Linked DNA regions of Macaca mulatta. The protein of the gene in region 1 interacts with the protein of each later gene in a biochemical or structural test. Links are inferred from orthologs where the notes say so. Each region holds a gene or a part of one and is shown in the gene's direction. Other genes may lie near its edges. The genes, in order: PLXND1 and SEMA4A.

Evidence for each region.
Region 2: the proteins of PLXND1 (region 1) and SEMA4A form a complex in vitro, tested with the Homo sapiens proteins (2 studies listed by IntAct, with this or other methods). The link is inferred for Macaca mulatta from reciprocal best matches to the Homo sapiens genes PLXND1 and SEMA4A.

The regions. Positions count from the first base shown.
Region 1 is NC_133407.1:154,355,983-154,372,071, forward strand, and holds part of PLXND1 (plexin-D1), read left to right. Parts: intron 1-1,161; coding exon 1,162-1,316; intron 1,317-1,898; coding exon 1,899-2,050; intron 2,051-2,708; coding exon 2,709-2,808; intron 2,809-2,901; coding exon 2,902-3,041; intron 3,042-3,788; coding exon 3,789-3,956; intron 3,957-4,033; coding exon 4,034-4,124; intron 4,125-4,328; coding exon 4,329-4,592; intron 4,593-4,698; coding exon 4,699-4,848; intron 4,849-5,704; coding exon 5,705-5,819; intron 5,820-7,927; coding exon 7,928-8,035; intron 8,036-8,128; coding exon 8,129-8,241; intron 8,242-9,099; coding exon 9,100-9,204; intron 9,205-9,699; coding exon 9,700-9,830; intron 9,831-10,177; coding exon 10,178-10,376; intron 10,377-12,460; coding exon 12,461-12,607; intron 12,608-12,757; coding exon 12,758-12,914; intron 12,915-13,798; coding exon 13,799-13,902; intron 13,903-13,992; coding exon 13,993-14,056; intron 14,057-15,108; coding exon 15,109-15,143; intron 15,144-15,395; coding exon 15,396-15,500; and 2 more. UniProt on the Homo sapiens protein: Cell surface receptor for SEMA4A and for class 3 semaphorins, such as SEMA3A, SEMA3C and SEMA3E. Plays an important role in cell-cell signaling, and in regulating the migration of a wide spectrum of cell types.
Region 2 is NC_133406.1:110,765,111-110,781,199, reverse strand, and holds part of SEMA4A (semaphorin-4A), read left to right. Parts: intron 1-786; exon of another isoform or gene 787-948; intron 949-1,227; 5' UTR 1,228-1,314; coding exon 1,315-1,345; intron 1,346-1,693; exon of another isoform or gene 1,694-1,844; intron 1,845-1,894; exon of another isoform or gene 1,895-1,898; coding exon 1,899-2,123; exon of another isoform or gene 2,124-2,132; intron 2,133-2,904; coding exon 2,905-3,072; intron 3,073-4,775; coding exon 4,776-4,936; intron 4,937-6,736; coding exon 6,737-6,799; exon of another isoform or gene 6,800-6,832; intron 6,833-6,980; exon of another isoform or gene 6,981-7,054; coding exon 7,055-7,153; intron 7,154-7,368; exon of another isoform or gene 7,369-7,385; coding exon 7,386-7,491; intron 7,492-9,449; coding exon 9,450-9,566; intron 9,567-9,909; coding exon 9,910-10,034; intron 10,035-10,330; coding exon 10,331-10,503; intron 10,504-11,917; coding exon 11,918-12,068; intron 12,069-16,089. UniProt on the Homo sapiens protein: Cell surface receptor for PLXNB1, PLXNB2, PLXNB3 and PLXND1 that plays an important role in cell-cell signaling. Regulates glutamatergic and GABAergic synapse development.

The DNA.
Region 1 (16,089 bases):
ACACACAGAGCCTTATATCCCAGCCCTGCCATGCCATGCCAGGCTCTAGGCCTTGGGGTCTCCATGCATACTTTCCCTTGCCTTCCTGGGCCTGATTGTTCCCATAGAAAAGAGGACACAGGCCAGGCGCGGTGGCTCAAGCCTGTAATCCCAGCACTTTGGGAGGCCGAGACGGGCGGATCACGAGGTCAGGAGATCAAGACCATCCTGGCTAACACGGTGAAACCCCGTCTCTACTAAAAAATACAAAAACCTAGCCGGGCGAGGTGGCGGGCGCCTGTAGTCCCAGCTACTCGGGAGGCTGAGGCAGGAGAATGGCGCGAACCTGGGAGGCGGAGCTTGCAGTGAGCTGAGATCCGGCTACTGCTCTCCAGCCTGGGCGACGGAGCGAGACTCCGTCTCAAAAAAAAAAAAAAAAAGAAAAGAGGACACAGTCCTTCTGCAGAGCTTGGAAGGACCTGATGAGCCGGGGCTCGCCCAGCCTTGAACGTGGCATCTGGGGTGTGGTCAGCACCCCTTGAGTGGCGGCTCTGCAGTTGCTGTGACTGTGTTGGGTCTACTCTCCAGGGGCTCCTCTGTTCATGGGGAGTCTCAGGCATCCCTGGTGGACGTGGTGCCCTCCAGATTCCCACCGTGAAGGTCCCAGAATGGCCCTGCACACCCAAGGCCCCAGAGAACCTTCCCTGCCCTCCTCCTTGAGCTACTTGGAGGGTTTGAAGCCCCCAAGTCCTCATAGCCCACATTACTCAGGGGTCCCTGGCATCCTGCGGCCCTGCCGGGGGTGATCAGACCCACTGTGGCCTGGGTGGGATCTGGCTGTGCCACCCACAGGCCTTGTGAGCTCGGGCGAGTCCCTCCTCTCTGAGCCTCAGCCTCTTCTGTGTAAAGTGAGGCTGACCCCAGGCTCCCAGCTGGAGTCTCTGTGAGGGGAAGGAAATCAGGGAGGCCGGGGCTGCACTGTGCTCAGCACAGGCCCCGGGGTTTGGGGAAGGGGCTAAGAACCTCACAGGATCCTGACGCCCAGAACCAGGACTTCCTCTGGGTGGGACACCACAATGATGGGGTGCAGACCTCTTGATAGCTGTTGAGTGTGGAGGGGACAGCGGTGATGGGGCATGCACTACAGAGCGGGGCTGACCGAGCTGCCCCGTGTCTCCCCAGTCGTGGTCTATAACTGTGCCACGGGCAGCCCCGACTGTTCCCAGTGCCTGGGCCGCGAGGACCTGGGTCACCTGTGCGTGTGGAGCGACGGCTGCCGCTTGCGGGGGCCCCTGCAGCCCATGCCTGGCACCTGCCCCGCCCCCGAGATCCGCGCGGTAAGCACGCCCAGTGGAGGCACGTGGCACCCACACTCTGGCACAGCTCATAGGCAGCATCCACAAGGGTCCCACTCCCTGGGGACTCGAACACCAACACATACACCGGCTCATGGGTGCAGTATCACCTGTGAACAGAAGGAAGTGCTCTGCCTCACAGAGCTGACGTTTCAGTGGGGGAGGTGGACAGTAATAAATAAGGAAATGAGTAAATTATAGAAGGCATTGGAAGTGTGGAGTGGAGGAAACACCGAGGGCTGAACGTTGTTAGCTTTGGGGGATACCATGATCACTAAAGCCACCAATGACATGACCAAACATTGCCCCTGGGAGCTGACCTCAGCATCCTGCAGGAGAACCCCTAAGTAACATCCCCGGGCCCACATGGGCTCAGTAATGCACACACATATCCTCCTTGGCAGCACAGTGACCTGCCAAGTGGCCACTGCCCCAGCCCCACCTGAGCCCCCAGACCTTCCTTTAAGCATGCCCGTGCCCTGCTGGGTGCCTGTGACTGTGGGCAGAAGCCTGCTGGCCTCCAGTCTCAGACCCCATTTGCCCCTCTCTCGGGTCACCTGGCAGATTGAGCCCCTGAGTGGCCCGTTGGATGGCGGGACCCTGCTGACCATCCGAGGCAGGAACCTGGGCCGGCGGCTCAGTGACGTGGCCCACGGCGTGTGGATTGGTGGTGTGGCCTGTGAGCCACTGCCTGACAGATACACGGTGTCGGAGGAGTGAGTAGCCACGGTGCCCCCACCCACCCTCTCCAGCAGTGCCAGCCTCTGCTCTGTCCTCACCCCTCCCTCCCCATCCTCCGTCCTCACTCTGCTGCTTTCTGGAAGCCTGTTGCTTCGTGGCCTCGGGGACTGTGCCGAAGCCATTCCCACCACACATCCTGCCATTTCTGCTTGGGGCATCTGCTTTATCCTTCCAGCTCTGTCTCTGATGCCAGCTCCTCTGGGAAGCTCTCACAGGCTGCCCTAGCCCAGCCTTTCTTCCACCTAAGCCTTGCTCTGAGGAAAATCATTTAAAATTAAAAAGGCTGGGGCTACTGGCATGGTTCAGAGATCTATGACTGGCCCAGAGGGGTCCTAGGAAACATGCATGAGCAGAGACTGAGCTGGCTTTCCTTTCGGGAGGCCGTGCGTCTGGCATGTGGAAGAGCCGTCATCTACCAGCCCAGCAGACGTTCTCATGATCAGAGACCGTCTTGTCCCAGCCCCTTGTCTTATAGTTGCAGAACTGTGGGAAACTCATGGGGTAAATTATACACAGAAGGCATTGGAAGTGTGGTGTGGCGTGGAATGGGGCAATCCCTGAGCCTGGCTCCAGGGTGGCCGTGGGGGCTGAGGACTGCTGGCCGCTCTCACTGACCACAGCACCTCCCCTCAGGATTGTGTGTGTCACGGGGCCAGCCCCAGGGCCACTCTCAGACATAGTGACTGTGAACGCCTCTAAGGAGGGCAAGTCCCGGGACCGCTTCTCCTACGTGGTAAGGGGGGCTACAGCCCACTGTCCCGCCTGCCCAGCACACACGCTCCCGGGGGGCTGGCCCAAGGCCCAAACACCTGCCTTCCTCCCACAGCTGCCCCTGGTCCACTCCCTGGAGCCTCCCATGGGCCCGAAGGCCGGAGGCACCAGGATCACCATCCACGGGAATGACCTCCATGTAGGCTCTGAGCTCCAGGTCCTGGTGAACGACACAGACCCCTGCACAGAGCTCATGTAAGCCTCTGGGCCTGACCCACCCCTTCTAGTCCAGAGAAATCAACGGGCTTGGGGGCTGGTGGGCTGGAGGTGACATCCTTGAGCCAAGCCTCACCTGAGTCTTCATTGGCTGTGTCCCCTAAGCCAAGCCACTTCTCTCTGAGCCTCAGTTTCCTCAGCTGTCAAGAATAGTACCAGTAATTGGAAGAAGGGCTTTTTGTGCTAGGTATACAGTAGATGCTCCATAAGTGATAGCTGTAATGAGAATGGTGTTGATTGCACACATTCAGATCTTCTGGCTGGCCCAGGGGTGTGGTGAGTGGCAGGGGTGTGGTTGGAGTCTCTTGGCGAAACACCTTTGTCTTTATTATGCACTTATTGTGTACCAGACCCTACTAATGGGCATTGCTGGGACACCAAGAGGAGCACAACATAGCCCTCAAGGGAAGGGCAGACACACCCACAGGAATTAGGAACATCCAGTGGGATTGGGAGAAAAGTCAGTGCCTTCAGGGATCTAGGGAGAGAGGTTTCACCAGGGGTGGAGGCGGGAGAGAAGACCTGGGAAGGCTTCCCGGAGGAGGTGGGATGGGGCAGAATTTGGAAGTATAAGGAAACAGCTAGGTGCTAAGATGAATTGGGACCAGTCAAGGAGGCCTTGAACCCCGGGCCAAGTGCATGGGCCTGTGCCCCAGGTCTCAGGGGCATTGGCGGTGGGTGAGCAGCAGGAGGCAGGCCCTGCTGATAATCTGCTGCTCCCCCAAGGCGCACAGACACCAGCATCACCTGCACCATGCCTGAGGGGGCCCTGCCGGCTCCGGTGCCTGTGTGTGTGCGCTTCGAGCGTCGGGGCTGCGTGCACGGCAACCTCACTTTCTGGTACATGCAGAACCCAGTCATCACGGCCATCAGTCCCCGCCGCAGCCCTGTCAGGTAAGACTGGCACCCCGCCCTTCCCTCAGGCTCTCTGGGGCTGCAGGTGGACTGATAGGTTTTGCCGTCCCCCGCAGTGGCGGCAGGACCATCACGGTGGCTGGTGAGCGTTTCCACATGGTGCAGAATGTGTCCATGGCCGTCCACCACATTGGCCGGGAGCCCACGGTGAGGCAGTCAGGGGCCTGATGGCTGGGAGGGGGTGGCCCAGGCACAGCCAGGGCCCTAACTGACCAGGCCTCCTCCCACTGCATCTCTGTCCCCTCTTCCTCCCTCTGCCTCTGTGTCTCCTCAAACCCCACTCCCCCCGTTTCTCCATGTCCATCCGTCCATCCTGCACCCCGGTCTTGGCCCCTGGCCCTCATGCCCCAGCTCTGCAAGGTTCTCAACTCCACTCTCATCACCTGCCCGTCACCCGGGGCCCTGAGCAATGCATCGGCAGCAGTGGACTTCTTCATCAATGGACGGGCCTATGCAGACGAGGTGGCTGTGACTGAGGAGCTACTGGACCCCGAGGAGGCACAGCGGGGCAGCAGGTTCCGCCTGGACTACCTCCCCAACCCACAGTTCTCTACGGCCAAGAGGGAGAAGTGGATCAAGCACCACCCCGGGGAGCCTCTCACCCTCGTCATCCATGTGAGCATGGAAGGGGCCAGGGTAGGCGGGGGCAAGCGAGCCAGCCTCAGCCATGGGCCTTGGGAGCACTTCCCCACACCACAGTTCTCCCCCTTTGCACCCACAGAAGGAGCAGGACAGCCTGGGGCTCCAGAGTCACGAGTACCGGGTCAAGATAGGCCAAGTGAGCTGTGACATCCAGATTGTCTCTGACAGAATCATCCACTGCTCGGTCAACGAGTCCCTGGGTGCAGCCGAGGGGCAGCTGCCCATCACAGTGAGTGGATGGGGTGCCGGAGCAGGGCAGACCCGGCCCCCACCCCTGGCCCATCTGCCAAGCATCTGCCCGTTACCCAGCACCTGAATTCACTGAGCGTTTTCATGCTCAATAGCTCAGTCCAGCAAAGCAGAGCTTTATATCCCCACTTGACAGATGAGGAAACTGAGGCCCAAGAACTTAGTGACTTGCTTGAGGTCAGTGATGGGCCCCATCTGGACCTGGACCATCAGAAACCATAAGAAGTTGTCCCTACGCCACTTGGTGTCTGTCCTAGAGCCTGGGCTGCCAGGCACCATGTAGAGGCATGGAGGGCAGGGGAGCAGGAGGAGCAGAGAGAGGCCAGAACGTGGGATCTTTTCTGCACTGTATCTCGTTGCATGCCTCCTGGGATGGGGAGCTCACTCTCTCCCAAGCAACATGTGCCACCCCAGGATGGCTCTGACTGGGAAAGCTTCCTTTTACCTGCACCTCAGTCCCAGTCCTGCCCTCTGAGTCATCATACCTCACCTACCCCCTGGTCTCAGGGCAGCCCTGCAGATACTTGGGGACAGCAGCCAGGCCCCGTGAACTGCTTCCTCTGGCTCACTCACTACTCCTCCCAGGCTGTAATGATAATCACAGCCCCCTGTATTGAGCCACCTCTGTGCCAGGCCCAGGACCAAGGGCTTGACAAGCCCTCATTTAGCCCTCCCAGTGTCCCCAGGAGGTGGACATTGTTATCTCCATGTTATCAATGTGGCACCTGAGGCTCAGAGAGGTTAGGTAATTTACCCAGGGCCACACAGCAAATGAGGAGCAGAACCAGAGTGTAAGTCTAGGAGAGCTACAACCCCTCTCCCCAACCTCTACACAGATCCAGGTAGGGAACTTCAACCAGACCATCGCCACACTGCAGCTGGGGGGCAGCGAGACGGCCATCGTTGTGTCCATCGTCATCTGCAGCGTCCTGCTGCTGCTCTCCGTGGTGGGTAAGGAGCCCCATCCTCAGGACACCTTGGAGGGCAGGCTTGCCACCTTGCCCCAGCCCCTCTGAAGATTGGCAGATGGAGGAAGGCAGGATGGGATGGGGCACAGCTTGAACAAAGGCTTGGCCACGGGAACAGGTTAGGCACCCAGAGGTCGGGGGAGGTGTGCCCCTCTCCAGCACCAATGGGTAGAAGATGTTAGATGGCTGGGGGACATGCTGGGCCCAGGCCAAGGTCCCTGAATCTCAAGCAGAGAAATTTGGAACTGTGTTCTCCAGTCAATAGAGAGCTACTGAAGGTACTTAAGAAAAGGTTACTCAGGGAAAATTAACCTACATGTCTGGTGGGCTGTATTGCTGTTAAAATAATGGTCATGAAAGTAATAGACTCGACGTAGCAGAGAAACTGGAGCCGTCATACACTACTAGAGGGAATAAAACAAAGTGCAGCCGCTTTGGAAAACATTTTGGCAGTTTCTTAGAATGTGAAACATAGAATTACCCTATGACTTACGAGCCAGCAGTTCTACCCCTAGCTATCTGTTCAAGAGAAATGAAAACGTAGCCACACAAAAACTTATACACACGTGTTTACAGCAACATTATTTATAATAACCAAGAAGTCAAAACAACCCAAATGTCCATCAACCAATAAATGGATAAATGAAATATGATCTATTCATACAATAGAAAATTTTCCGTAAAATATGATCTATTCATACAATGGACAGTTATCCATAAAAAGGAGTGGAGTACTGATCCATGTCACCATGGGCATGCACCTTGAAAATATTACACTAACCGAAAGAAGACTCACCGAAGGCTGCATATTGTATGATGCCGTTTATATGAAATGTTTAAAATAGGGAAATTCAGAGAGACAGAAAGCTGAATGGTGATTGCCAGGGACTAGGGAGAGCATGAATGGGGAGTGACTGCTGAATGGCTACGGGTCTTCTTGAGGCAGTAAAAATGCTCTAAAATTAGTGGTGATGGTTGCACAACTCTGTGAATATACTAGAAACCATTGAATTAGGCCAGGCGCAGTGGCTGGTGCCTGTAGTCCCAGCACTTTGGGAGGCCAAGGTGGGTGGATCACTTGAGCCCAGGAGTTCAAGACCAGCTTGGGCAACATGGCAAAACTTTATCTCTACAAAAAAATACAAAAATTGCATGGGCATGGTGGCACGAGTCTGTAGTCCCAGCTACTCAGGAGGCTGAGGTGGGAGGATCACCTGAGCCTGGGAGGTGGAGGCTGCAGTGCGCTGTGATCGTGCCACTGTACTTCATTCACCCTGGGCAACAGAGTAAGACTCTGTCTCAAAACAAAAAAGAAAGAAAAGAAACCATTGAAGTATACACTTTAAATCACCGGATTATATGGTATGTACATTATATCACAATAAAGCTGTTTTATTTTTAAAGTGAGTATATTCAATGCAGAAAATTTTTGGAAAAACTGAAAGATGATAAAAGGAAAAAATACCCATCATTAGTACCCTGTGTATTTTTGTATATTCCCTCCCAGTCTCTTTTCTGAAAATACTATATATTAATAGATATTTTAATACATTATATATACATTCCTCCCCACCCCAGAAAAGGTTATAATGTAATACTGCTTTGTAATCTGCTTTTAAAAGTTTCTTAATTTACAAGTAACACCTGGTCATTGTAGAAGGAATAGAAAATGCTCAAAAGCAGAAAGTAAACAGAAGTCACCCAGAATCTTCCCACCCAGGAAAGCCGCTGTTAACCACTATTTCACACACACACGTATTCCTGTTTCTTTTTCTTTTTTTTTTAAGGGGGCTAGACAAATTCTAACAGAGCTGTAACACTACACATTTCTTTTTCTAAGAACAGGTCATCAGGCATTGCTTTGCTGGCCATTCCCCAAGCCCTCTGCCCATGGGAGAGCTCCCTGCAACTCCCCACCCCCAACCCCAACCCTGCCCAGGAGGGAGGACTGCAGGGCCTCCTCCCACACCTTGCCCAGAGGAGCTGGAGCTGAGGCCAGCGAGCAGAGCCCCAGGCCCTGCATACAGCAGGTGCCAATAAAAGCTTTTCAAAGGGCACTAGAGGCCTGACCTGCCTCTCCACTGCCCACAGCCCTATTCATCTTCTGTACCAAGAGCCGACGTGCTGAGCGTTACTGGCAGAAGACGCTGCTGCAGATGGAGGAGATGGAATCTCAGATCCGCGAGGAAATCCGCAAAGGTAATGGGCTGGGACCCTGCAGGGCTGGGCCTCCACTTTCCCTCCTGGGGGATGGGTTCTCGGGCCACTCATGGCTGTCCGCGTGTCCGCCAGGCTTTGCTGAGCTGCAGACAGACATGACAGATCTGACCAAGGAGCTGAACCGCAGCCAGGGCATCCCCTTCCTGGAGTATAAGCACTTCGTGACCCGCACCTTCTTCCCCAAGGTCAGCCCGAGCCTGAGTCTGCCCCTGAACCTGTGCCAGCCACCTCAAGGCAACTCAACCTCTCTGAGCCCTGCCAGCCTAGAGGGTCCCTTGAGCAGTGCCAAACCTGCACAGCTGTCCACAGCCGTCCTGGCCACTTGCCCTGGCCTGCCACGGGGTGGAGGGTTGGAGGCAGATTCTTCACTCTTATTCTCTGCTCACTTGATGTTTAACTGTCCACACGGAAGCCAGCTGTAGCCCCACTCTCCTGGCCAGCTGGGCCTTCCTCTCCCCTTTTCAAGGTGGGGCAGAAGTGGCCAGGGCTGTCCCATGCCAGCCTCTCTCCTCCCTGTGCCTCTTCCCAACCAGGCTTCACTTGGTCTCTACACTCCCTCCTCCTGTCCAATGGACTCCTGCCCCACCCCTTCCATGCCTGTCACGCCTCCCCTTGCCCTTCCAGGGTCCACTGCCCTCGCTCCCTCCTGGTGGTACCACCCTCCGTCCCCTGTCCACACCATTCCCCACAAAGCGGCCAAAGCAAGCCCATGTTTGACTACATCATTTTTCACGAAACTCTCCAGTGGCTTTTCCCAGCCTCAGGCTAAAGCTCAGACTCCCAACCTCTCTGCCTCAGTTTCCCCCATTGCACATGGAGCTGCTTTTGCTTCCCCTTAAGCCTTGTGCTGTCTGGTGTGGCCATACTCCTGGAATTCCACAGCCCCCGGGCGTGGCCCACTGCCTCTTATTCCTTTATGGGGAGCTAATTCTGTGCCAGTTTCCCCCAGCAGCCCAAGCTGGTGCCCTTTCTGTATGAGTGACCTTTGCATGCCAGCAGGGGGTGTCCAGCCCCACTGAGATGCTGGGGGTCTGTCTCTGCAGTGTTCCTCCCTTTATGAAGAGCGTTATGTGCTGCCCTCCCAGACCCTCAACTCACAGGGCAGCTCCCAGGCACAGGAGACCCACCCACTGCTGGGAGAGTGGAAGGTGAGTACCCCCCAACCCACACACAGTGGGCTACTTCCAGGCAACCCTGCTCCTCCCTTTCCAGTTCATCTAATCCATTGATCCTTGTCATGTGGAGGCATCTGCCATTGTAAGGTACTGAGGCCTCCATCCCAGGAGGCATTCAGGCAGCCATTCAGGGTGTTCTAAGTGCTGCCCCCCAAGGCCAGGTAGAGCAAACAGAGGATTGGACCCCCTCGTACACCCACTCCGCCTGCTGCTTAGAAAATGGAAGGTGAGAGTCCCTCACACTGGGATGCCAGGTTATCTTCAGGCACCCTCACCCTTCTCTGAGCCCCACTTCTCAATTCAACCAAGCCATTGTTCCCTGCCACAAAGGTTAGGAGGCATCCACCATGGAAGGTAATGAGCTCCCCATCCCAGGAGGCATACAAGCAGCCATCATAAGCACTGGCTGTTAGGCTAGGCAGGGACACTGGGCCCCTCTGGACACCCCATCACCAGTTGCTCCCACAGATTCCTGAGAGCTGCCGGCCCAACATGGAAGAGGGAATCAGCTTGTTCTCCTCGCTACTCAACAACAAGCACTTCCTCATCGTCTTTGTCCATGCGCTGGAGCAGCAGAAGGACTTTGCGGTGCGCGACAGGTCAGGCTGTGATGGACTGGGGTGGGGTAGGGAAGAGGAGCCTGTCCAAGGCCACACAGCATCAGGTCCTAGGTCCTGGGGCTCTGGGGCTCCTGACACCCCCATATTCCAGCCCTTCCTGGGCCTGGATGCCCGAGACCTTGGCTCACGGGGCACGGTGGTTGCTGCGGACATAGAAGAAGGTGGTGTTTCTCCGGGAGGATTCCAGCCCCACTCACCCCTCGCAGGACCCACCCACACAGGCACTCCTGGGACCGCTGGGCCCAGGGATGAGGCGGCACTGAGACCCTGGGACCCACAGCTCCTAGGGCCTCAAGGCGCAGCTGACACCTGCCTCCTGCTCGCAGGTGCAGCCTAGCCTCGCTGCTGACCATCGCGCTGCACGGCAAGCTGGAGTACTACACCAGCATCATGAAGGAGCTGCTGGTGGACCTCATTGACGCCTCGGCCGCCAAGAACCCCAAGCTCATGCTGCGGCGCACAGAGTCTGTGGTGGAGAAGATGCTCACCAACTGGATGTCCATCTGCATGTACAGCTGTCTGCGGGTGAGGCCGCCCGGGGACAGACAGAGCCCAGGCGGGGGCTGTGGCAGGGACGCGGCAGCAGTGACCCCACGGCCTCCCAGGCCTTCCCTGGCACCCTCAGGCCAGCTCTGCCAGGAGGGAGTGTTGCATGAGACAGGCCAGGCTGTAGGGCCTGTTATGCAGAGCGGGGAGCCGTGGCCCAGGGGAGGCCTGGCTGGCTTGCTGCAAGGGCTCAACAGATGCTTGGGGCATAATAGAGGTTGTGTCAGGGGCCTTGTCCCATCCGTGGTTTTCTCAGTCATCCACCCTTCCCTGCTTTGGATTCAGGAGATGAAATCAGCCCCTGGCTGGCCCTTGAGGCTCTCCTAACCCTAAGGGTGAGACGTGGAAACAAAATACAGAGTGGCCAGTGCCTTGCAGCAGAGCTCAGCTCATGAGGCCTCCATCTGTCTGGAGGCTTCAAGGTGGCTTCCTGGAGCAGGCGACCCTGTGCTGAGACCTCAGAGAGTGGGCCGGGCGAGGATGGTGGGGAGGGTGCTCCAGGCATCAGGTACAGCAGGAGGGCAGAGGCCAGGAGGAGGGGATGTTCATGGAAGGAATGGAAGGAAGGCCAGAGAATCTTCCAGATGAGAGCAGAGGCTGGGAAGAGGGTGGGCCTGGTAGGCAGGGCCTCCTGCCTTCTGCCAGAAGGACCCCCGTAAGCTCTCTTCTGCAGAGCAAGGGTTGCTCAGCCTCTGGTCTTGTCCCACCGTCCAGCTGCCCTACAGTGCTGGAGGCTAGAGGGCTGCCTGGAGGATTGTGGGAGAAAGGCAAAGGCCTGCCTGGAGCCCAGAACCAGGGCCTCAGATGTTCTGTTTTGTTGTTGTTGTTGTTGTTTAGTTTTTGAAGAGATGGGGGTCTTGCTTTGTTGCACTGGCTGGTCCCAAACTCCTGGCCTCAAGCAATCCTTCCGCTTTGGCCTCCCAAAGTGCCAGGATTACAGGGGTGAGCCACTGCACCCAGCCAGGATGTCCTGGGCTTGAGTCTGATCTTTGGCACATCCCAGCTGTGTGACTCTGGGCTACTCATTGCCCTCTCTGGGCCTTGGTTTCCTTCTGTCAAATGGGGCCTCTGCCCCTGAGCCGGGGGCTTGAGGGAGCCCCACGGCCCCTTCTGGGGGAAGGGGGTAGTGGGGTGGAGCAGAGGCAGGGCCTGCGAGGGGCCATCGGGGTGCTTTCACCTTCCGCGGGCTGCCTCACTGTGGGCCATCAGGAACCACAAGGGCCACTGTGGACCCTGGACCTTACTCCCCTGGCTTCTTTCTGTGACCTCAGCCAGGCCTTCCCCTATGAGCCTGTTTCCTCCTCTAGAAAGCAGGGAATCAGTGCCTCCCACGCCCCAGACCTGGAGAATTGGACCAGGACTTGGGCTGGCAGGCTGCCTTCGTAATCTTTGCCAAATCTGCCTAATACTATTATGTACTTAATTTTTCTTTAAATCAATTTTGGTGGGTAGTTAAGTAAAACTATCCCAGTAGAACACCTGGGTCCCTTGCTGGACAATGGCCTTGAGAATCAGCTCATGGCTGTGGGTCCAGCAGAGCCACTGCCTGGAGGGCCACCCGTGGAGATGGGCAAGAGCAGGGACTATGAGCCTCATTCCGCCTGAGACTCCACGGTCATCAGCCTGCGAGTGGGGTCGAGGCCACATCGGTGTTCCGGGTCCACCTAAACTCACCCTTGGGGCCACCCACTTAGGAGAAAGTCACAGGCTTGGGAGTCAGCCGAGCCAGGTCCGATTCCTGCCCTGCCGCTTCCCAGCTGGGTGACCCTGGGCAGGTCACTTGCCCTCTCCGAGCCTCGGCACTGTTGGCTGCACAGTAAAGATGATACTGCCTATCCGGAAGGGTCGCTGGGATGAGGCAATGAATGCCCCCACCCACAACTGGTGCTGTTTAATGAACACAAGCTTAGGGTCCATGGAGACACCCTGGAGAGGAGAGTGTTACACCAGGATCCAAAAGGAGACTGAGGGGTGGGGGGACGGGGGCGTGAAGGTGTTTGGCCCAAGGCGTGGGGGCTGGAATACAGAGGGGACCTTGGCCCTGATACCCCCGTGCACCCCAGGAGACAGTGGGGGAGCCATTCTTCCTGCTGCTGTGCGCCATCAAGCAGCAAATCAACAAGGGCTCCATCGACGCTATCACGGGCAAGGCCCGCTACACACTCAATGAGGAGTGGCTGCTGCGGGAGAACATCGAGGCCAAGCCCCGGGTGAGTCGGCAGGGTGGGGAGGGTCCCAGGGCTGGTGCATCTTGGCCTACGGCATTGACCCAGCCTTCCTGGGCAGGGCATGGCTGCCTGGGTACCGGCATAGTGATGGCAGCAACTCACTGACCTTTCTCTCCCACTCTCCCCTTGCAGAACCTGAACGTGTCCTTCCAGGGCTGTGGCATGGACTCGCTGAGCGTGCGGGCCATGGACACTGACACGCTGACACAGGTCAAGGAGAAGATCCTGGAGGCCTTCTGCAAGAATGTGCCCTACTCCCAGTGGCCGCGTGCAGAGGACGTCGACCTCGGTGGGTGGGAATGGGGGCAGAGACCCCGAGTCAGGTGCTTCAGCCGGGGCTAGCCCCTGCCTTGACGGGAAACACTCCTTTCACCTGGCATGGGTGCATGAATGTGGGGACACTGAGAGGATCCAATGAGGCCCCCTCGGCAGAAACAAAGGGAGACAAGTCCTGCAGTGTGAGTGAGCTACAGACAACAGCAAAAAGCCTTCAGGAAAGGCTTCCTAATTCCTAAAGGAGGGATGCTGGAGTGGGGTTTATTTGTTTGTTTGTTTGTTTGTTTTTGAGACAGGATCTCATTCCGTCACCCAGGCTGGAGTGCAGCGGTGCAATCTCAGCTCACTGCAGCCTCCACCTCCTGGGTTCAAGTGATCCTCTCATTTCAGCCTCCTGAGTAGCTGGGACTACAGGTGTGCACCACCACATCCAGCTAATTTTACTTTTTGTAAAGATAGTGTCATGCTATGCTGCCCAGGCTGGTCTTGAACTCCTGGGCTCAAGCGATCCTCCTGCCTCAGCCTCCCAAAGTGCCGGGATTACAGGTGTGAGCCACCACGTGGGGCCTGGAGTGGGTTTTATAGGATTCTGGGTTAGGCCAAGGGTTTCATCAGCAATTGTAACATTAACAACCCTGCAGACAAGGCCATTTCCAGAGCTCCTCCTCTGTGCCCTCCACCCTGGCACCTTCACTGTGTACCCTCACATTCTCTCCCCCAGCTCTTTCCTGCTCTCTCCGTTTTATGGATGGGAAAATGGGGGCTCAGAGAGAGGTATGGCTTTCCTCATTTTCCATGGAGAAAGCGAGAGGCCTCTCCCTGTGTGACTGGGCCAGTAACCACCCCTCAGGCCCAGCTCCCTGCCCAGACCCTGATGGCCTGCTCCTTGTCCCCCAGAGTGGTTCGCCTCCAGCACACAGAGCTACATCCTTCGGGACCTGGACGACACCTCCGTGGTGGAAGACGGTCGCAAGAAGCTTAACACGTTGGCCCATTACAAGGTGCAGCCCTGCCCCCCTGCCCTGCTTCCCCACCCTCATGCCCCCACCCCGACCTCCAGCCTCTGACCTCGGCCTCTCCCCTCCCATCAGATCCCTGAAGGTGCCTCGCTGGCCATGAGTCTCATAGACAAGAAGGACAACACACTGGGCCGAGGTAGTGCGGGTGCACGTGGGAAGGAAGCCTAGACTGCATGTGGACGGGGGCTTCCATCCCATGCCCCTGTGGGGAAACTGAGGGTCCGAGAGTCACGGCTGGCCTGGGCTGAGGCCTCCTTGGTGGAGACTGGGCGGGGCCAGCCTCCTCTGACCCAGTACTGCTGGGGCAGGGCCCACACCAGGCCTCCTCAAGCTGATTTCCTGCGGCAGCTGGAGAGAGGCCCCGGGAGGGCGGGCTGCAGTTCCGGGAGGTCTGGGCAGTGGCCAGGCCAGAAGGGGGGCCAGCATGCCCGTCTCAGCCTTGGGCCATGTCCCTGCCTCAAGTGCCCCCTCCACAGCCTCAGACGCCCCAGGCACAGCCGCCTGGCTGCTAGGCCTGCCAGCCCGGGCTCCTCTGGGTCTCGGGGTCCCCTCCTAAGGTTGAGAGCAGAGTCTCGGTCTCTCCCAGCAGCCTGGGAGTCTGGGCTGGCAGGAGCTCTGGGCTCAGGGGTGGGGTGGGTGAAGGAAGCCACCTCTGCCTGCCTGAGGCCTCTCCTCCCCCGTGGCTGCATCTTTCTGTTTCTCTCCACCGCTGTTCCTCCCTCCAAGTCCCTCCATCCCTGTGGTCACTGTGTGTGTGTGTCTTTCTCTCTCTGCCTCACTGTCTCACTCTCTGTGTGTCTCTGGATCTCACTTATCTCTCTCTCTGTCTCTCCCAGACTCAGTCTCCCCATGAGTCTCTGCATCTCTGTCTCATTCTCTCTGCCTGTCTCTTTGGATCTCTGTCTCTGTTTGTTTCTCTCCCCATCTTTCTGTCTCTGCTTCTGTTTCTCTCCCCATCTTTCTGTCTTGTTTCTGTTTCCCTCTCCCCATCTTTCTGTCTTGTTTCTGTTTCCCTCTCCCCATCTTTCTGTCTTGTTTCTGTTTCCCTCTCCCCATCTTTCTGTCTTGTTTCTGTTTCTGCCCTCTTTTTCTGTCTTTGTTTCTGTTTCTCTCCCCATCTTTCTGTCTTCATTGCTGTTTCTCTCCCCTCCTCTCCCATGTTTATTTATTGTGTTTTTCCTCTCGCAGTGAAAGACTTGGACACAGAGAAGTATTTCCATTTGGTGAGTGCCCAACCTCGGCCCCAGGGGATCCAGCCCCTCAGTGGGTGTGGCCTTGGCTTTCTGTGGCCCTGGGCCTCTGGGAAAAGTGCTCCCGGCCCTGAGAAAGGCTGGGGGTGGGGGAGTAGGGATGGGGCCCAGAATCAGGAGGGAACCACAACCCTTGTGTGCTAAGAAGCATGGCAGAGCCAGACCTCCCACAGGCGGCCGAGAGTGGGGCCTGGTGCGGACACTGACCACTGCCCGGCTTCCCAGGTGCTGCCCACGGACGAGCTGGCGGAGCCCAAGAAGTCTCACCGGCAGAGCCATCGCAAGAAGGTGCTCCCAGAAATCTACCTGACCCGCCTGCTCTCCACCAAGGTGGGTCCGGCTTCAGTCTCCCCTCCGTGCAGTGGCTACAAGGCTCCAGCCCCAGCCCCAGAGGGTCGTTGCTCAGGGCCAGCTGTGCACACACGGCTGGAAGAGGGGTGTGAGTTCTTCCTATTCCCCCTGTGGGGCTGGAGGGGCAAGAGGCTGAAGGCTTAGGGTCCCACTTGAGGCATTTCTCACAGCCAGGAAAAATGCCTGACAGACACTTCTATGTTAGCCCACGTAACAGGGTACAGCAGAGGCCCAGAGGGGTCAGTGATGTCCCCAAGGGCACGTGGCTCAGTGGCAGCGCTGGCACCCCACAGCCCATACTCTGGTGCCTCCAGTTCTCGACTACATGTGCCAATGCCTTGATTAGTCCTTTCAACGCCTCTGTGAGGCAAGTTTCGGATGCTGAGGCCGGAGAGGCTCGGTGACCAGCCTGACGCCGCGTGGCTCCCTCATTCAGCAGCCTGGGCATTTCAAGCTCTGCAGAGCCACCAAGGGTGCCCACTAGCCCTCTGCACGTGGCCCGGGGCTGACGGCGGCCACCCCACTCCCCCGCAGGGCACGCTGCAGAAGTTTCTGGATGACCTGTTCA
Region 2 (16,089 bases), on another chromosome or scaffold:
AGAGTTCGAGACCAGTCTGGCCAGCATGATGAAACCCCATCTCTACTAAAAATACAAAAAAAAAATTAGCTGGGCTTAGTGGTACATGCCTGTAGTCTCAGCTACCTGGGAGGCTGAGGCAGAAGAATGGCTTGAACCCGGGAGGCGGAGGTTGCAGTGAGTCAAGATCGCACCATTACACTCCAGCCTTGGCGACGACAGAGCAAGACTTTGTCTAAAAAAAAAAAAAAAAAAAGCCCATGCTTGGTTTAATGTTCTGGTGTTGGCCTGTTGAAAGTCCTCAGAAATCACCCCAGAGATCTTGTTTCTTAACCTAGAGTAGGCAAAGCTCACTACCCTCCCAGCCCACGCTTGCCTTCTCTATCCAAGTGGCTCAGAACTGTGGACTGGGGCAGGAGGAGGACTGAATGACTAGGACTCTGTAGAGTCTTTGTAGCTAAGAGATTTGCTATTGAATGAGGCAGATCTGAATTCAACTTGGCTTCTAGCTGTGTAACCTCTCTTCTTGATCTGTAAAATGGGATTATGTCCGTACCTAGCTGCTAAAATTGTTGGGAGGACTAAAGCCTGATAGTGTGAACTATTCATATTGGCTAGAGGGACTGGGGAAGAGGACATCTGGAGTTGGGAGAATTCTGGATGTCTGGAGGAAGAACTGGGGGCAGGGCATGGAGTCTTTCACTTCCAGAAAGGCGGGAATAGGACATCAGGCTGGAAGTGTGGGGCTGGAACTCCCCCAACCTCCCCGTATCAGAACTCCTCCCAGTGACCCAAATAAGCCAATCTGTTTAAGCAGAGAGGCCCAGGGGAAGACCGGCTTCCCAAATCTGAGCTGGGGGTTGGGGAGACACAGAAGGTAGGGTCTGGATAAATGGGAGTTTCTCTTGATTCTAAGAAGCTGGAAGCAACCTGGCAAACAGCCTCTGGGAGAGTCTGGGGGAGTCCTAGGCAAGTCTTGACAGAAACGATTATTAGGCAGGATATGTCTGAGACCAACCCCTGGGGAAATTGAGAGAGACGAAAGAAGGCTGAGTACCTCAGATGAGGAATTATAAGGAGTAGCCTGAGCTGTAACATCCCCCATGTTGGCTGGTGCTGTAGCAGGAGGGATGGAAGTTACACTGCAGGAAGGACTTCCTGCCAGGGAGGAATGTGCATGTCAGATGGAAGTGGATTATTTATTAGAGTTGGATTAGCCCTGGGATGTCTGTGCTCTTTAACCTGCAGTCAGCTGACCGTGTTGAGTGGGCAGGAACCTACCCACTTTGTAGGCCATGGAGTTCTTGCCGCTGGATGCCTCATTAACCCTGCGTTATGAGGCTCCCCCTGGAGCCTTTGAGGAGGGGTAAGCAGCCATCTTTGGGGGTTGGGCGCCTCCAAAGTGTGGTCCAGTGAGCATGAGTTCAGATGAGAAATGTTCTGGGCTTCCTATTGGCCTGATTTTTGGGCTTCCTATTGGCCTGATGTCAAGGAGTGATGGAGATTAGACTACAAGGGGGACTTCCTCAGCAAAATCACAGATAAGAGCCTAATACAATTCTTTCATTTTTTAAGAAAGATTATGGCCTAGCTGACAGTGGGAGGTTTAAAGGTTAGACCACTGCAGGGACTTCCCAGTAGGTAGGAGTGGAGAGACCCCACCTTGTGCGTAAGTGAAAAGAGGAATATGTCATGTCCCCTATCTGGGAAATCTTGAGCAAGAGGAGAAACCACTGCTAGGCTGGTTAGACTGGCTGTGACATGATGGAGAGACAGGGGAATCACTGAAATGACCTAGAAGGGCCTCTTAAACTTTCTGGTTGGACCGAGCAAGAGGAGGGAGAGAGAGGTGTGTCTCTTGTAAGGTGGGTGAACCTCTTTTTATTCCCTCCCAAACCACCAACTTCCACCCAAGCCAGGATCTGTCACAACTCGAGAGGTGGAAATTCCGGTTTCCCTGGCCCAGAGCTCCCAGTTCTGGCTTTGGCATGATGGGCACCTGGAGGGCTGCACTCCCGTTCCAGCCAGGCTGAGCCTTCTGTCCCCTGCTTCTGGGGCCTGGGAATCCCCCTTCTTCTTTCTCCTGAATGGCACCCCCGCCCTAGAATCCAGACACCGAGTTTCCCACTGTGGCTGGTTCAAGGGTATGTGAGGTGAGATGGGTGGCTTGGGGTGGGTGGTCTTGGGAAAGATTATGTAGAGGCCCAGGGAGGCAGACACAGGAGCAAGAGACAAGGGGGCCGGGGAGCTGCAGAGGCTGGGAGCCGGCCAGCCACCCCTGCCCAGGCAGCTCCCCAGGAAATGCTGATAGCCAACCTGGCGGGATGGACCCTCATTGCCTCCCTGGAAGAATCAGGCCAGGCAGGACTGAGCCTCAAAGACCCTGAGCCCAGCTGGGGCTGGGGGAGAGGTTAGAGCAGACAGACTCAAAGGTCTGCCCACCTAGGTCAGAGCTGAGTATGAGGCACAGGTGTCAACAGATCTGAAAGTGACAGGAGAGTAAGGTCTGAGGAATTTATATTTTGGGTGCAGGAACCTGCTCCCCAAAATGTCCCCTGCCCAGAGCCAGGCCACGGTTTGGGCTTGGGCTATGAGAAGAGGGAAGGCAAAGGAGGAAAGGCAGGAAAGACGTCCTAAGAATAAGGCAAGAAAAGGCAGACCAGAGCTGTTGGTGAGAAGACAGCAGAAGAAGAAGGATAGGGGACACCCACAGGGGACAGTGAGGTGACAGGCTGAGGCTTGGAAGGATGATGAAAGTGAGACTGTCTTAGGGCCCTTCTAGATGGGGAACCTTCCCTGCCCTAATGTCCCCCCCGCCCCAACCAATACACACGCTTCTGCTGCCTGGGGCTCTCCTATTGGTCCCCAGGGGGGATGTGGTAAGAACTGCTCACCCAGAAAGTGCCCGGGTGCCTGTTTCCCCAGAGCTCCCTGGTGACAGTCTGTGGCTGAGCATGGCCCTCCCAGCCCTGGGCCTGGACCCCTGGAGCCTCCTGGGCCTTTTCCTCTTCCAACTGCTCCAGCTGCTGCTGCCGACGACGACCGCGGGGGGAGGCGGGCAGGGGCCCATGCCCAGGGTCAGATACTATGCAGGTAAGTGTATGATGGCAGCAAGTGTGGGGATGGCAATAGAGAGCTGGAGGTGGGTGGAGGAAGGAGAGAGGAACAGAGGAGAGGGGGGAAATGGACATGGAGAAACGGGGACACAGAGAGAGATGCCAGGGAGAAACAGAGGGTTTCGGAGAAAGAGACACAGCCAGAAATAGAAGTCCAAATGGAAAGAAAAGCCACTGGAGAGCAGATTGAGAAAAACAGGGGGCCACGGGGCCACGGGGCCACGGGCACTGCTTCTTCCAGTTCTCCAAAATCGGTAATTTTTCTTTACTTCCTTAAATATCACTGTCACCAAGCTGGGCACCTCAAACTCCTAACTGCTTCACACTCCCAAGTACCCCAAAATCAAGGCCCATGCTAGAAGACCATGCGTGGACCCAGTGACCCAGGGCACACCAGGCCCATGCCAACCACATAGATCATGCTGGACCATACCATGTCCAGGACTGTGGGATGGTTGGTCGGAGAATGGGCCCTGGAACCCACACGCAAGCACAGCTTGACTGGTTTCTTACTGAGACTGTGGAGGCTGCTGGTCCCCTCACCTCCAGGGAGAAGACTCAGGAAAGGATATAGACACTGCAGGAGTTGTAGGTGACTGGGCGTGGCTGTGTCTTTAGCATCTTTCTGGGGCAATCAGTAAAGGAAACGTATATTGCCCACTGATGCAGAGACCTCCTCTGTGTTGGATGCAGGGCGTACAAACATGGATAAGCCTCAGCCCCTGCCCTCAAGGTGTTCACAGTCACAAAGGGGGAAGCACATGAGCAAGCAGACCATCAATACAGGGTGATCTGTTCAGTAACTGAGGGATTTATGCAGCTTTGGGGGAGGCCTGGCTTCCGGGAGATGCTCCTCCCTGAGGCCAGCCCTTCCAGCCCGCAGCTGCACCATATTCCCCAACTCCTCCCCTCTGTCCTGTGTAAGATTCCCTGAGCCTACAAACGTATCAGTTAGCTAGTCAGCTTTCTAACTAATGCAACAGTGCAAGTGCTAATAAGAGAGGATCTGAGGAGCTCCTTCCTCCTCGCTGATGTGCCAGTGGGACAGGAACATACACCCCCACCCACCCCACAATGCCAAGGTCATGGAGAGGAGCCTCCCACACCTGGCTCACTATCTCTGCCCAGGGGACATCCAGCCATGCCCACACAGATCTTTGAAGAAAAATGCTTCCTCTCTGTTTATGGTGACTCTACTGGTGGGAATTTCCTTTAACAGAAGAGGAAGAAAGCAGGGGTGGTTGGGGGGGTGGCGAGAGGGACCCTCTGACACACACCCTCCTGTCTGCATGTAGCTTTGCTGCTTGTGGCTGCCAACACTTTCCTGTTTGTCTGTCTGCCTGCTGCTCCCCGTCCTACTGAGGACCAAGGCATCCTCCCCCATGGTAGCCCTCCCTGTCCCAGGCCTGGAAGAGCATCCATTGTGCCTCACTTTATTTCCTGTCCCCATTACTCTGTCTCTGGCTGCCTCTTCTCTCTACTGTGGGCTCAACACACAAAGCTCTTGTGGCTGCCGGCAGGGTGGGGTGAAGGGGAGAACTGCTGGTGGAGGAGAGTGGGTCTAGCTGCCAAGGCCCGGGGAGCACACTCAGGCAACCCTTCCCCTTCCCCCACTTATATCTCAGGAGTCAGCTGCCCACCAAGTCCTCATCACTCTCTCCTTCTTACTACCTCCAACAGGGGATGAACGTAGGGCACTCAGCTTCTTCCACCAGAAGGGCCTCCAGGATTTTGATACTCTGCTCCTGAGTGGTAATGGAAATACTCTCTATGTGGGGGCTCGAGAAGCCATCCTGGCCTTGGATATCCAGGATCCAGGGGTCCCCAGGCTAAAGAACATGGTAAAGAGTCCAGGGATAAAGAGTGTGGGCTGGGAGTGAGAAGGGGGCCAGCAGCTGCCCTGGGCTTGGCTGCCTGTGCATGAGTAACAGCTCAGTTGCTGCTATCTGTAATCAGCAGTTCTCTTTATATGTATATCGTGACAATATAACAGACAGGAAATGTTGTGGCCTCACTTTTTTTTTTTTTTGAGATGGAGTCTTGCTCCGTTGCCCAGGCTGGAGTACAGTGGGCACGATCTTGGCTCACTGCAACCTCCACCTCCCGGGTTCAAGCAATTCTTCTGCCTCAGTCTCCCAAGTAGCTGGGACTACAGGCACACACCACCATGCCAGGCTAATTTTAATAGAGATGGGATTTTACCATGTTGGCCAGACTGGTTTCGAACTCCTGACCTCAGGTGATCTGCCTGCCTTAGCCTCCCAAACTGTTGGGATTACAGGCGTGAGCCACCATGCCTGGCCTGTGACTTCACTCTTCATTGGTATTGTGAATAGTGATTGAATAATATTAATTGCAAAAATGGCTGATATGGAAATCATTGACATATGAGATAAACATTGACTCAAATTATGTCAACAATTTGATATCTAACCACTAGTAGAGATCACTGATGCTTCTGTGTCTTTTTTTTTTTTTTTTTTTTTTTTGAGATAGAGCCTTGCTTTGTCACCCAGGCTGGAGTGCAGTGGCGCGATCTCCGCTCACTGCAAGCTCCGCCGCCTCCCAGGTTAACGCCATTCTCCTGTCTCAGCCTCCTTAGAAGCTGGGACTACAGGCGCCCGCCACCACACCTGGCTAATTTTCTTTTTGTATTTTCAGTAGAGATGGGGTTTCACCGTGTTCGCCAGGATGGTCTCCATCTCCTGACCTCGTGATCCGCCTGCCTCAGCCTCCCAAAGTGCTGGGATTACAGGTGTGAGCCACTGCGCCTGGCCTTTTTTTTTTTTTTTTTTTTTTGAGACAGAGTCTCACTCTGTTGTCCAGGCTGGAGTGCAATGGCATGATCTCGGCTCACTGCAACCTCCGCCTCCTGGGTTCAAGCAATTCTGCCTCAGCCTCCTGAGTACTGGGATTACATGCGCCCACCACTAGGCCTGGCTAAAGAGATGGGATTTCACCACGTTGGTCAGGCTGGTCTCGAACTCCCAACCTCAGGTGATCCGTCCGCCTCAGCCTTTCAAAGTGCTGGGATTACAGGCGTGAGCTACCATGCCCGGCTGCTTCTGTCTTAGTCACCCTATTACTGGGAACAATGTGAGGAAGGAAGGAAGAAAGGGAGAGAAGGCACTAGCAATATAGTGATCACCTCCGTGGTTCGTGTATCCTGATGTGTAGTCTGCTGACCACCTGCACATATGAGATGCTGGTTAAAAATGCAGATTCTCTAAGGCGTGACCCAGGAACAAACATTTTAAACAATTTCCCCAGGAAATGTGCGGTTTGACAACTGCTGCCATATATACCATTCTTCGTGTTAGGTGTTTTGTATATGCCACCTGGTTGTATCTGCCAGTAGCCTATGAAATTGACCAAGATCTCTCAGTCAGGAAATAGCCAAGTCTAGATTTAAACTTGGGTCTGTCTGATTCCTTAGGCTGTGTTCAACTATGGAGCTATGTCTGATATCAGTATTATTCAAGTAATAGCCATGGTCACAAACTGATGCTATTACTGCCCATCAGCATATCACTAAGCACCATGCCTGCTGTTGATTTCACATCAGAGAAGGGAAGCAGGTCACAGTGAGAACCGAAGACCTCATTTCTTTTCATCTTGCCCTCCCAACTCCCTACTTTCAGATACCGTGGCCAGCCAGTGACAGAAAAAAGAGTGAATGTGCCTTTAAGAAGAAGAGCAATGAGGTAAGTGGAGGTGGGGGAGTGGGGGTAGAGTGGGTAGAGAGCCCTGGCATCCCTACACCATCCCTGGATAGCCTCAGGTTGGGCGGCAGTGGAGGGCGCTTGTTTGCATGGTTATCTCCTGGATTATGTTCTACAGAGAGGTACAGGGACTGCCCCAGCATTACCCAGCCTTTCTCCTCAGTGAGGGGGCAGGCTCTGGGGGTCCAGGAAGTTGAGGTAAGTGGCCTGGAGACCTAAATTCTCTGTCTCCCTCAGACACAGTGTTTCAACTTCATCCGTGTCCTGGTTTCTTACAACGTCACCCATCTCTACACCTGCGGCACCTTCGCCTTCAGCCCTGCTTGTACCTTCATTGTGAGTTCTCTGGTGCCCAGTGCTCAGGCCCCCAAGCATTCCTTCCCACATCTACCCTCGGCATTCCTCTGTAGCTCTGGAAAACTCTGGCCTTCCAGATGCAGGACCCTCATCAACTTCCTGGCCCCAGACCAATTTCCCTCTATGTCACTTTCCCTTCCTTCCTCAAGCCCCTCATTTCCCAGATGTGAGACCTTGGCGTTCTGGCCCCCCAGCCTCTCTCCCCATTTAGGAACTTCAAGACTCACACCTGTTGCCCATCTTGGAGGACAAGGTCATGGAGGGAAAAGGCCAAAGCCCCTTTGACCCCGCTCACAAGCATACGGCTGTCTTGGTGGGTGAGTATCAGGTTTCTCACCTCATCCCAACATCTGCTTTCTCCAGTCACGCTGTGAAATATGGAATAGTACAGAGTTTTCCGAAAGGCAGGAAAAGCTGGGTGTAGTGATGGATACGTATGGTCCCAGTTATTTGGAAGCCGAGGTGGAAAGACCCTTGAGCTTAGGGGTTTGAGTCTAGCCTAGACAACACAGGGAGATCGTCTCAAAAAAACAAAAACAAAAACACACACACAAAAACCAGACTTTAGTGCCTTATGCCTGTAATCCTAGCAGTCTGGGAGGCTGAGGTGGGTGGATCACGTGACCCCAGGAGTTCGAGACCAGCCTGGTCAACATGGTGAAACCTCATCTCTACTAAAAATACAAAAATTGGCCGGGCGCGGTGGCTCAAGCCGGTAATCCCAGCACTTTGGGAGGCCGAGACGGGCGGATCACGAGGTCAGGAGATCGAGACCATCCTGGCTAACACGGTGAAACCCCGTCTCTACTAAAAATACAAAAAAAAAAAAACTAGCCGGGCGAGGTGGCAGGCGCCTGTAGTCCCAGCTACTCCGGAGGCTGAGGCAGGAGAATGGCGTAAACCCGGGAGGCGGAGCTTGCAGTGAGCTGAGATCCGGCCACTGCACTCCAGCCCGGGCTACAGAGCAAGACTCCGTCTCAAAAAAAAAAAAAAAAAAAAAAAAAAAAAAAAAAAATTAGCCAGTCATGGTAGGGCGCACCTGTGGTCCCAGCTACTCAGGCGGCTGAGTCACAAGAATTGCTTGAACCCGGGAGGTGGAGGTTGCAGTGAGCCGAGATTGCACCACTGCACTCCAGCCTGGGCAACAAAGCAAGACTGTCTCAAAACAAAACAAAACAAAACAAAACAAAACAAAACAAAACAGGCAGAGGAAAGAGAGAGGGAAGCCAGAAGCCTCAGATCACAAGATCAGAGGGAGAATTAAGCACCCCCAATCACCAACTCCTGCTGAAATTGCCACAAAAAGTGGTGGAGAAAGATGGATGTGGAAAGACACAGAGGCACGAGGGTTCGGGAAGGGTATTGGGTAGAGAAGAGGCCTGAGAGTGAGCCGCTGTTCAACAATCGTGTGAACACTTCCTCTGGTGTACTGGGCACTGTGCTGGGTAGTATAGGAGTTATAAACAAGAAATCAGACCAGGTGTGGTGGCTCACACCTGAAATCTCAGCACTTTAGGAGGCTGAGGCGGGTGGATCACTTGGGCTCAGGAGTTCGAGACCAGCTTGGGCAATAGTATAGTCAGACCTCGTCTCTACTAAAAAAACAAAACAATAGCAACAAAATTAGCCGGACAAGTGCCTGTGATCCCAGCTACTTGGGAGGCTGAGGTGGGAGGATCGCTTGAGAAGGTCAATGCTACGGTGAGTTGTGATGGCACCACTGCACTCCAGCCTGGATGTGAGCAAGACCCTGTCTTGAAAGAAAAAAAAAGAAAGAGAGAGAGAAACCATGTTTCAATGCACTACTGGACACCAACTATTACAGACTTCCCACCTGGCTTCCTGGAGGAGATGGCCTTCGGCTTTTCCACAGGACCTTGAAGATGTAGACAGATGGCAGGGAAGGTGTTCCAGGGAGAGAAGGGTAGGACCCAAGGTGTGGAAATGGAAAACACAGTCACCTTCCAGGATCAGTAAGTGATTCCACTTGGCAAGTGGTTCAGCTAGGTATGTGAGGGAGTAGCCACAGAAAGGCTAGAAAAGTGCCCAAACACGGAGGGCCACACAGGATGGCCATTTCCTGTGGAGAGAGGAAGCTAAGAGGGGTGCTTGGTGAGGAGGGGAAGCTGGGCTTTGGGGCTCCCTAGGAAGGTGCAGAACTGATGCAAGGGCCCCAAGACTGATATGGATGCCAGCGTCGGTCAGAGGCAGGTCTGTGGAGGGCAGAGGAGCCGTCCACGCCATCAGTTCTCTCTTCTCCTCTCCCCCACCCTAGATGGGATGCTCTATTCTGGTACCATGAACAACTTCCTGGGCAGTGAGCCCATCCTGATGCGCACACTGGGATCCCAGCCTGTCCTCAAGACCGACAACTTCCTCCGCTGGCTGCATCGTAAGGACCTGACCCCCGCTGGCCCCCTTTCCTGAGTCCCGGTGACCTTGCTAATTCACTCAACTCTCATTTGTGGAAGGTACAATGTGTCCATTACTGTTAGGCGCAGGGGGTATATGGCAGGGAAGAAGACAAAGCTCCGGTCCTCTTGAAGCTTTCATCTTATGTAAACACATTAAAGAAGCACCAGTCATCCCCTCCCCACATCGCTACCCCTGGACAAGCTGTGGGACCCAAGGAAGCCTGTGTCCTGGCCTCCAGGGCCAACCCAAGGGTTTTCACTCAGGCAAACCGAGGGCATCCAGGGGCTCAGTCCCTAAGCCCATCTGCCCCTCCCCCGCAGCGGACGCCTCCTTCGTGGCAGCCATCCCTTCGACCCAGGTCGTCTACTTCTTCTTCGAGGAGACAGCCAGCGAGTTTGACTTCTTCGAGAGGCTCCACACATCCCGGGTGGCTCGAGTCTGCAAGGTCGGCGGGCGGGGCGGGGGGCGGGGCTAACTGGAGGATTACCAATAGGGAGATGGCAGGGGCGGGACTGAGTGGTGGGTCCCCAAGGAGAGCGGAGGGGAGAGGAGGGGAGCGGAGGGGAGGGGAGGGGAGGGGAGGGGAGGGGAAGGGAGGGGAGGGGCGGGGAAGGAGACCAGAGGTGCTGGGGAGCGCGGGGTGGGGCACACGGGGCTGGGGGTGCGGGGAGCACACACGGGGTTGGCGGGACGGGGACACGCGTGGCTGGGGGTGCCCCCTCATTCTCCCTGTACCCCCAGAATGACGTGGGCGGCGAAAAACTGCTGCAGAGGAAGTGGACCACCTTCCTGAAGGCCCAGTTGCTCTGCACCAAGCCGGGGCAGCTGCCCTTCAACGTCATCCGCCACGCGGTTCTGCTGCCCGCCGATTCTCCCACAGCTCCCCATATCTACGCAGTCTTCACCTCCCAGTGGTGAGCAGCAGGGCCGGACCGTGGGGACTGGACACGGGACTTGACTCCAGTGAGGCCCCGGCTCGTGGGCGGAGGCAGGAATTGACATGAGCCAGCACCTATTCAGCACTTTCACAGAGGAAGGCATTAAATTGTCACCACCTCTGAGAAATTTGACTCATGCCCTTTTTGTAGATGGGAAAAATAAGGCTCAGAGAGGTTCTAACTAGTTTATATTCTGCCTAGTTCCAAAAGGGATAGGAAGCATTTTGCAAAAGGCAAATATTAAAATCAATAAAATAGATAAAGAAATGGGAATAAAAGGAGAGTATGAGAAGCCAGGGATAAGGCCAACACACTACAAATGCTTGTCATAAGATGTAGTATAGTCCCTGGATGCCAGCCACAAATTTAGCTCTGCACTTCCTAATGGCCAGGGCAAACAGGGAAACACCATGGGTTTCATAAGATAAAGTCGGCCGGGTGCGGTGGCTCATGCCTATAATCCCAGCACTTTGGGAGGCCGAGGCGGGCAGATCATGAGGTCGAGAGATCAAGACCATCCTGGCCAACATGGTGAAACCTTGTCTCTACTAAAAATACAAAAATTAGATGGGTGTAGTGGCGCATGCCTGTAGTCCCAGCTACTCATGACCCTGGGGCAGGAGAATCGCATGAACCCGGGAGGCGGAGGTTGCAGTGAGCTGAGATCACACCACTGCACTCCAGCCTGGCAACACAGCAAGACTCCATCTCAGAAAATATAAATAAAAATAAAGTCATTGCTTGAAGGTTGAGAAAGGTTAACCGATTTGTCCAAGGTCCCTGAGCCATGGTCTGGCCCCACAGTGTTTAGGTACCTGCTGACAATGTGTGTATTTGGGGTAAGTGGGGTCTGGTATCCACAGGATCCAGAACTGAGAGCCTGGTGTATACAATAGTCAGCTTCAAGAGAGCAAGAGAAACAGACCTCCTGTCTCCACAGACCAGGGCTGAAGGAATAAAAACAGTCTGGTAGTCAGGCACTGGTTGGTTCTCTGAGGACCACGGATCCAAGAGACTGAAAGGAAGAGGGCTTTGTGTGGAGCCAGGCTAGAGCTGGTTACACTGTCCCTCCAATGGGTGCAGCCCAGTCTAGGCAGGACAGGCAGGGGCCACCCCAGGGCCTGAGCCCCAATTAATTCTCATTAAGGATAATCAGACTTCATATCCCAAGATGGGCCTAGAGCCAGGCCCTGGGCCAGAGTCAGGGAATTCCATGGGGCTTCCTTGGCCCTTATCAACACAGTGAGGGGAAGGAGTGGTAGCTGGAGGCTGGCCCAGCTCTCCACACTCTTGCCTCCTGGGCTTTATCACTGAGGGTGGGCCAGGGCTGGAGAGAGAGCTGCCTGGTATGGCAGAGACCACAGACAATGTTCCCTCTGGTTGTCTCCAGGCAGATTGGCGGGACCAGGAGCTCTGCGGTTTGTGCCTTCTCTCTCTTGGACATTGAACGCGTCTTTAAGGGGAAATACAAAGAGTTGAACAAAGAAACTTCACGCTGGACTACTTATAGGGGCCCTGAGACCAACCCCCGGCCGGGCAGTGTGAGTACTACCTCCCACACTAATCACAGTCTACACACACATGATGTGCACGGAAAAGCACCTATCATGGCATAGTAAAGGCCCAATAAATGTTAGTGCTCTCCACCCCACCAATCTTGTCTGCTCAGACATACACCTGGTACAGCTGCCTACATTCCACATGTGCCTAGCACCCTCTTATACACAGAGGAGTTGCCAGAGCCATCTCCCTTCACCAAGGCTAACTGTACACCAAATATCTGGGTATATCACTATGGAAACAAGGGAACATGGGCTGTGTGCCAAGGACTGTCTCGGGCATTGCCACCTGCCTTTATTATTTAACTTTTTAAAAAAATCAGAGACCAGGCGGGGTGTGGTGACTCATGCCTGTAATCCCAGCAATTTGGGAGGCTGAGGCAGGTGGATCACTTGAGGTCAGGAGTTCAAGACCAGCCTGGCCAACGTGGTGAAACCTCATCTCTACTAAAAATACAAAAATTAGCCGGGCATGGTGGTGCATGACTGTAATTTCAGCTATTGGGAGGCTGAGGTAGGAGAATCGCTTGAACCTGGGAGGTGGAGGTTGCAGTGAGCCAAGATTGCACCACTGCACTCCAGCCTGGGTGATAGAGTGAGACTCAGTCTCAAAAAAAAAAAAAAAAAAAAAAAAAAAAAAAATCAGAGGCCGGGCATGGTGGCTTATGCCTGTAATCCCAGCCATTTGGGAGACTGAGACGAGAGGTTCACTTGAGGTTAGGAGTTTGAGACCAGCCTGGGCAACATTGTAAGACTCTGTCTCTACCAAAAAAAATTAGCTGGGCATGGTGGCATGTGCCTGTAGTCAGCTACTCAAGAGGCTGAGGTAGGAGGATCACTTGAGCCTGGGAGTTCAAGGCTCCAGTGAGCTGTGATCATGAGAATGTACTCCAGCCTGGGTGACCAGAGTGAGATGCTGTCTCTAAAAAAGTTTTTAAATGAAAAAAAGAAAAAAAAAATCACAGCCTGGGCAATATTGGGGGGAACCCATTTCTACAAAAGAGAAAAAAATCAGAGCTATTATATGTACGTGATTTGAAGAATCAGATCTAAAATCAAATAGATCTATAGGGTTAACTACAAAAAGCAGTCTTATTTCCCATCCTCCACCTCGCCCCAAACATTTTCAACTCTTTTAGCTGATTCTTTTTAAATTTATCTCAAAATCTCTAAATAACATGCTTTTATTGCTACTTCTTGATGTTTCAGTTTCTGACAGTATCTGTTGAATTTCCATTGTAAAAGGCGAGAATTTAACTATGTTCCCCAACCCCCGTCTCCACCCAGTGGTGTGCTAGAGCTGGCTTGCAGCAGCTAGCAAGAACTGTTTTTGCACATCTTTTTCCAAATTTGTGTTCAGTGATATTATATTGGTAGCTTGAAATTAGCCATGGCGGAAGTATACATCACAGAAATCAGCAAACAATGCAAATCGGCTTTCTAACCCTCTCTCAACAAAACTGACTTGGACCAACATACAGTAACTGCACCCACCCCCAATCTCCTAATGTAATTTTCTGGTAATTTTGGTTAGATCACTATTTATATTATGACTCTTCTTATTCACAGCCGAGCCAGGTAGTAAGCCATGATTACTTTTCCTTTTTGCATAGTTTTGTTTTCCCTGGGGCTAGTAATTATCTTGACTTTTCTGCTTGCTTTGTTTTCTAAGCTCTTTATTTTTATTATTTTTTTCGAAACAGTGTCTCACTCTGTCACCCAAGCTGGAGTGCAATGGCGCGATCTCGGCTCACTGCAACCTCTGCCTCCTGGGTTCAAGTGATTCTCCTGCCTTAGCCTCCCGAGTAGCTGGAATTACAGGTGTTTGCCACCTCACCCAGCTAATTTTTGTAATTTTAGTAGAGATGGGGTTTCACCATGTTGGCCAGACTGGTCTCTAACTCCTGACCTCAGGTGATCCTCCTACCTCAACCTCCCAAAGTGCTAGGATTACAGGCATGAGGCACTGTGCCTGGTCGAAGCTCTTATCTTTAATTCAACCCCAAGCTCTTCCTAAATTATCTGAATCTCTTCTGAAGACAGACCTATTAGCTTTTCTAACAGTTTTGTCTTCCTGGAGAGCCTTCCTGTCTGCTCCAGTCTGGACTAGTGCCCTCTACTCCCGGAGCGCAGATGCCATCCTGGAATCCCCCTTCCTCATCAGCCTGGGGATTCCCCTTTGCCTCTTTCCTGTGACACATCTCGTGTTTCTTGCGTCCTATGGCTTCCTCTTTTTTTTTTTTGAATTTTCAACTGTCTCATTTTGGTGGAGGTTATCCTTTGTAGATTCCTGGAAAAGGATACATGGCAGGTAAAACATTTTAAGATCTTGAGTGTCTGAAAATGTATTCTACTTTCCTATTTGATAATTTGGCTAAGTATACGTCATTCTAGAGTAGAAACACATTTCCTTCAAACTTTGAAGGCCTTGCTTTATTATTTTCTAGCTTCCAGTGGTGCTGTTGAGAAGTCCAAAGTTATTCTGATCCCTAGCACTCTGAATGTAACCTCGTTTTATTTCACTGAAATCTTTTTTTTTTTTTTTTTAAATACTGATACTCATGGAGCAGGGCTACCGTATAGGCAGCGTGCCTCACTGCCCTCACTGCCCTCACTGCCCTCACTGGAATCTTGTAGTGCTTTTTCTTTGTCCTGGTGTTCTGAAATTTCATGGTGTTGTGCTTTGATGGAACACTACTCGTTTATTGTGCTGGGTGCTCACTGGGCCACTTCAGCCTGGAAATTAGTACTCTTAGTTCTTTCAGTTCTGAGTTTTCTTGAACTATATCTTCCTATCTTCTTCTTTTTTTTTTTTTAGATGGAGTCTCACTGTCATCCAGGCTGGAGTGCAGTGGTGCGATCTTGTCTCACTGCAACCTCCACCTCCTGGGTTCAAGTGATTCTCCTACCTCAGCCTCCTGAGTAGCTGGGACTACAGTTTCACGCCACCATGTCCGACTAATTTATTTATTTATTTATTTTGAGATGGAGTCTTGCTGTGCCCCCAGGCTTCAATGTAGTGGCTCTATCTTGGCTCGGTACAACCTCTGCCTCCCGGGTTCAAGCGCTTCTCCTGCCTCAGCCTCCCAAGTAGCTGGGACTACAGGTGCCCTCTACCATGCCCAGTTAATTTTTGTATTTTTAGTAGAGACAGGGTTTCACCATGTTGCCCAGGCTGGTCTCGAACTCCTGACCTCAGGTGATTTGCCTGCCTTGGCTTCCCAAAGTGCCGGGATTACAGGCGTAAACCACAGTGCGCGGCCTTTTTTTGGTATTTTTAGTAGAAACTGGGTTTCACCATGTTGCCCAGGCTGGTCTTGAACTCCTGAGCTCAAGCAATACACCCACTTTGGCCTCCTAAAGTGCTGGGATTCCAGGCATGACCCACTGTGCCCGGCCCTATCTTCTTTTCATTCAACAAATATTTTTTGAGGACACATGCGACTATTCTGGGCAGGGAATATAGAAGTGAGCAAAACACATGAAAGTCCTGGCCGGGCACGGTGGCTCAAGCCTGTAATCCCAGCACTTTGGGAGGCCGAGACGGGCGGATCGTGAGGTCAGGAGACCGAGACCATCCTGGCTAACACGGTGAAACCCTGTCTCTACTAAAAAATACAAAAAACTAGCCGGGCGAGGTGGCGGCCGCCTGTAGTCCCAGGTACCCGGGAGGCTGAGGCAGGAGAATGGCGTAAACCCGGGAGGCGGAGCTTGCAGTGAGCTGAGATCCGGCCACTGCACCCCAGCCTGGGCGACAGAGCAAGACTCCGTCTCAAAAAAAAAAAAAAAAAAAGAAAGTCCCGGGGCCGGGCGCGGTGGCTCAAGCCTGTAATCCCAGCACTTTGGGAGGCCGAGACGGGCGGATCACAAGGTCAGGAGATCGAGACCATCCTGGCTAACACGGTGAAACCCCGTCTCTACTAAAAAAATACAAAAAACTAGCCGGGCAAGGTGGTGGGCGCCTGTAGTCCTAGCTACTTGGGAGGCTGAGGCAGGAGAATGG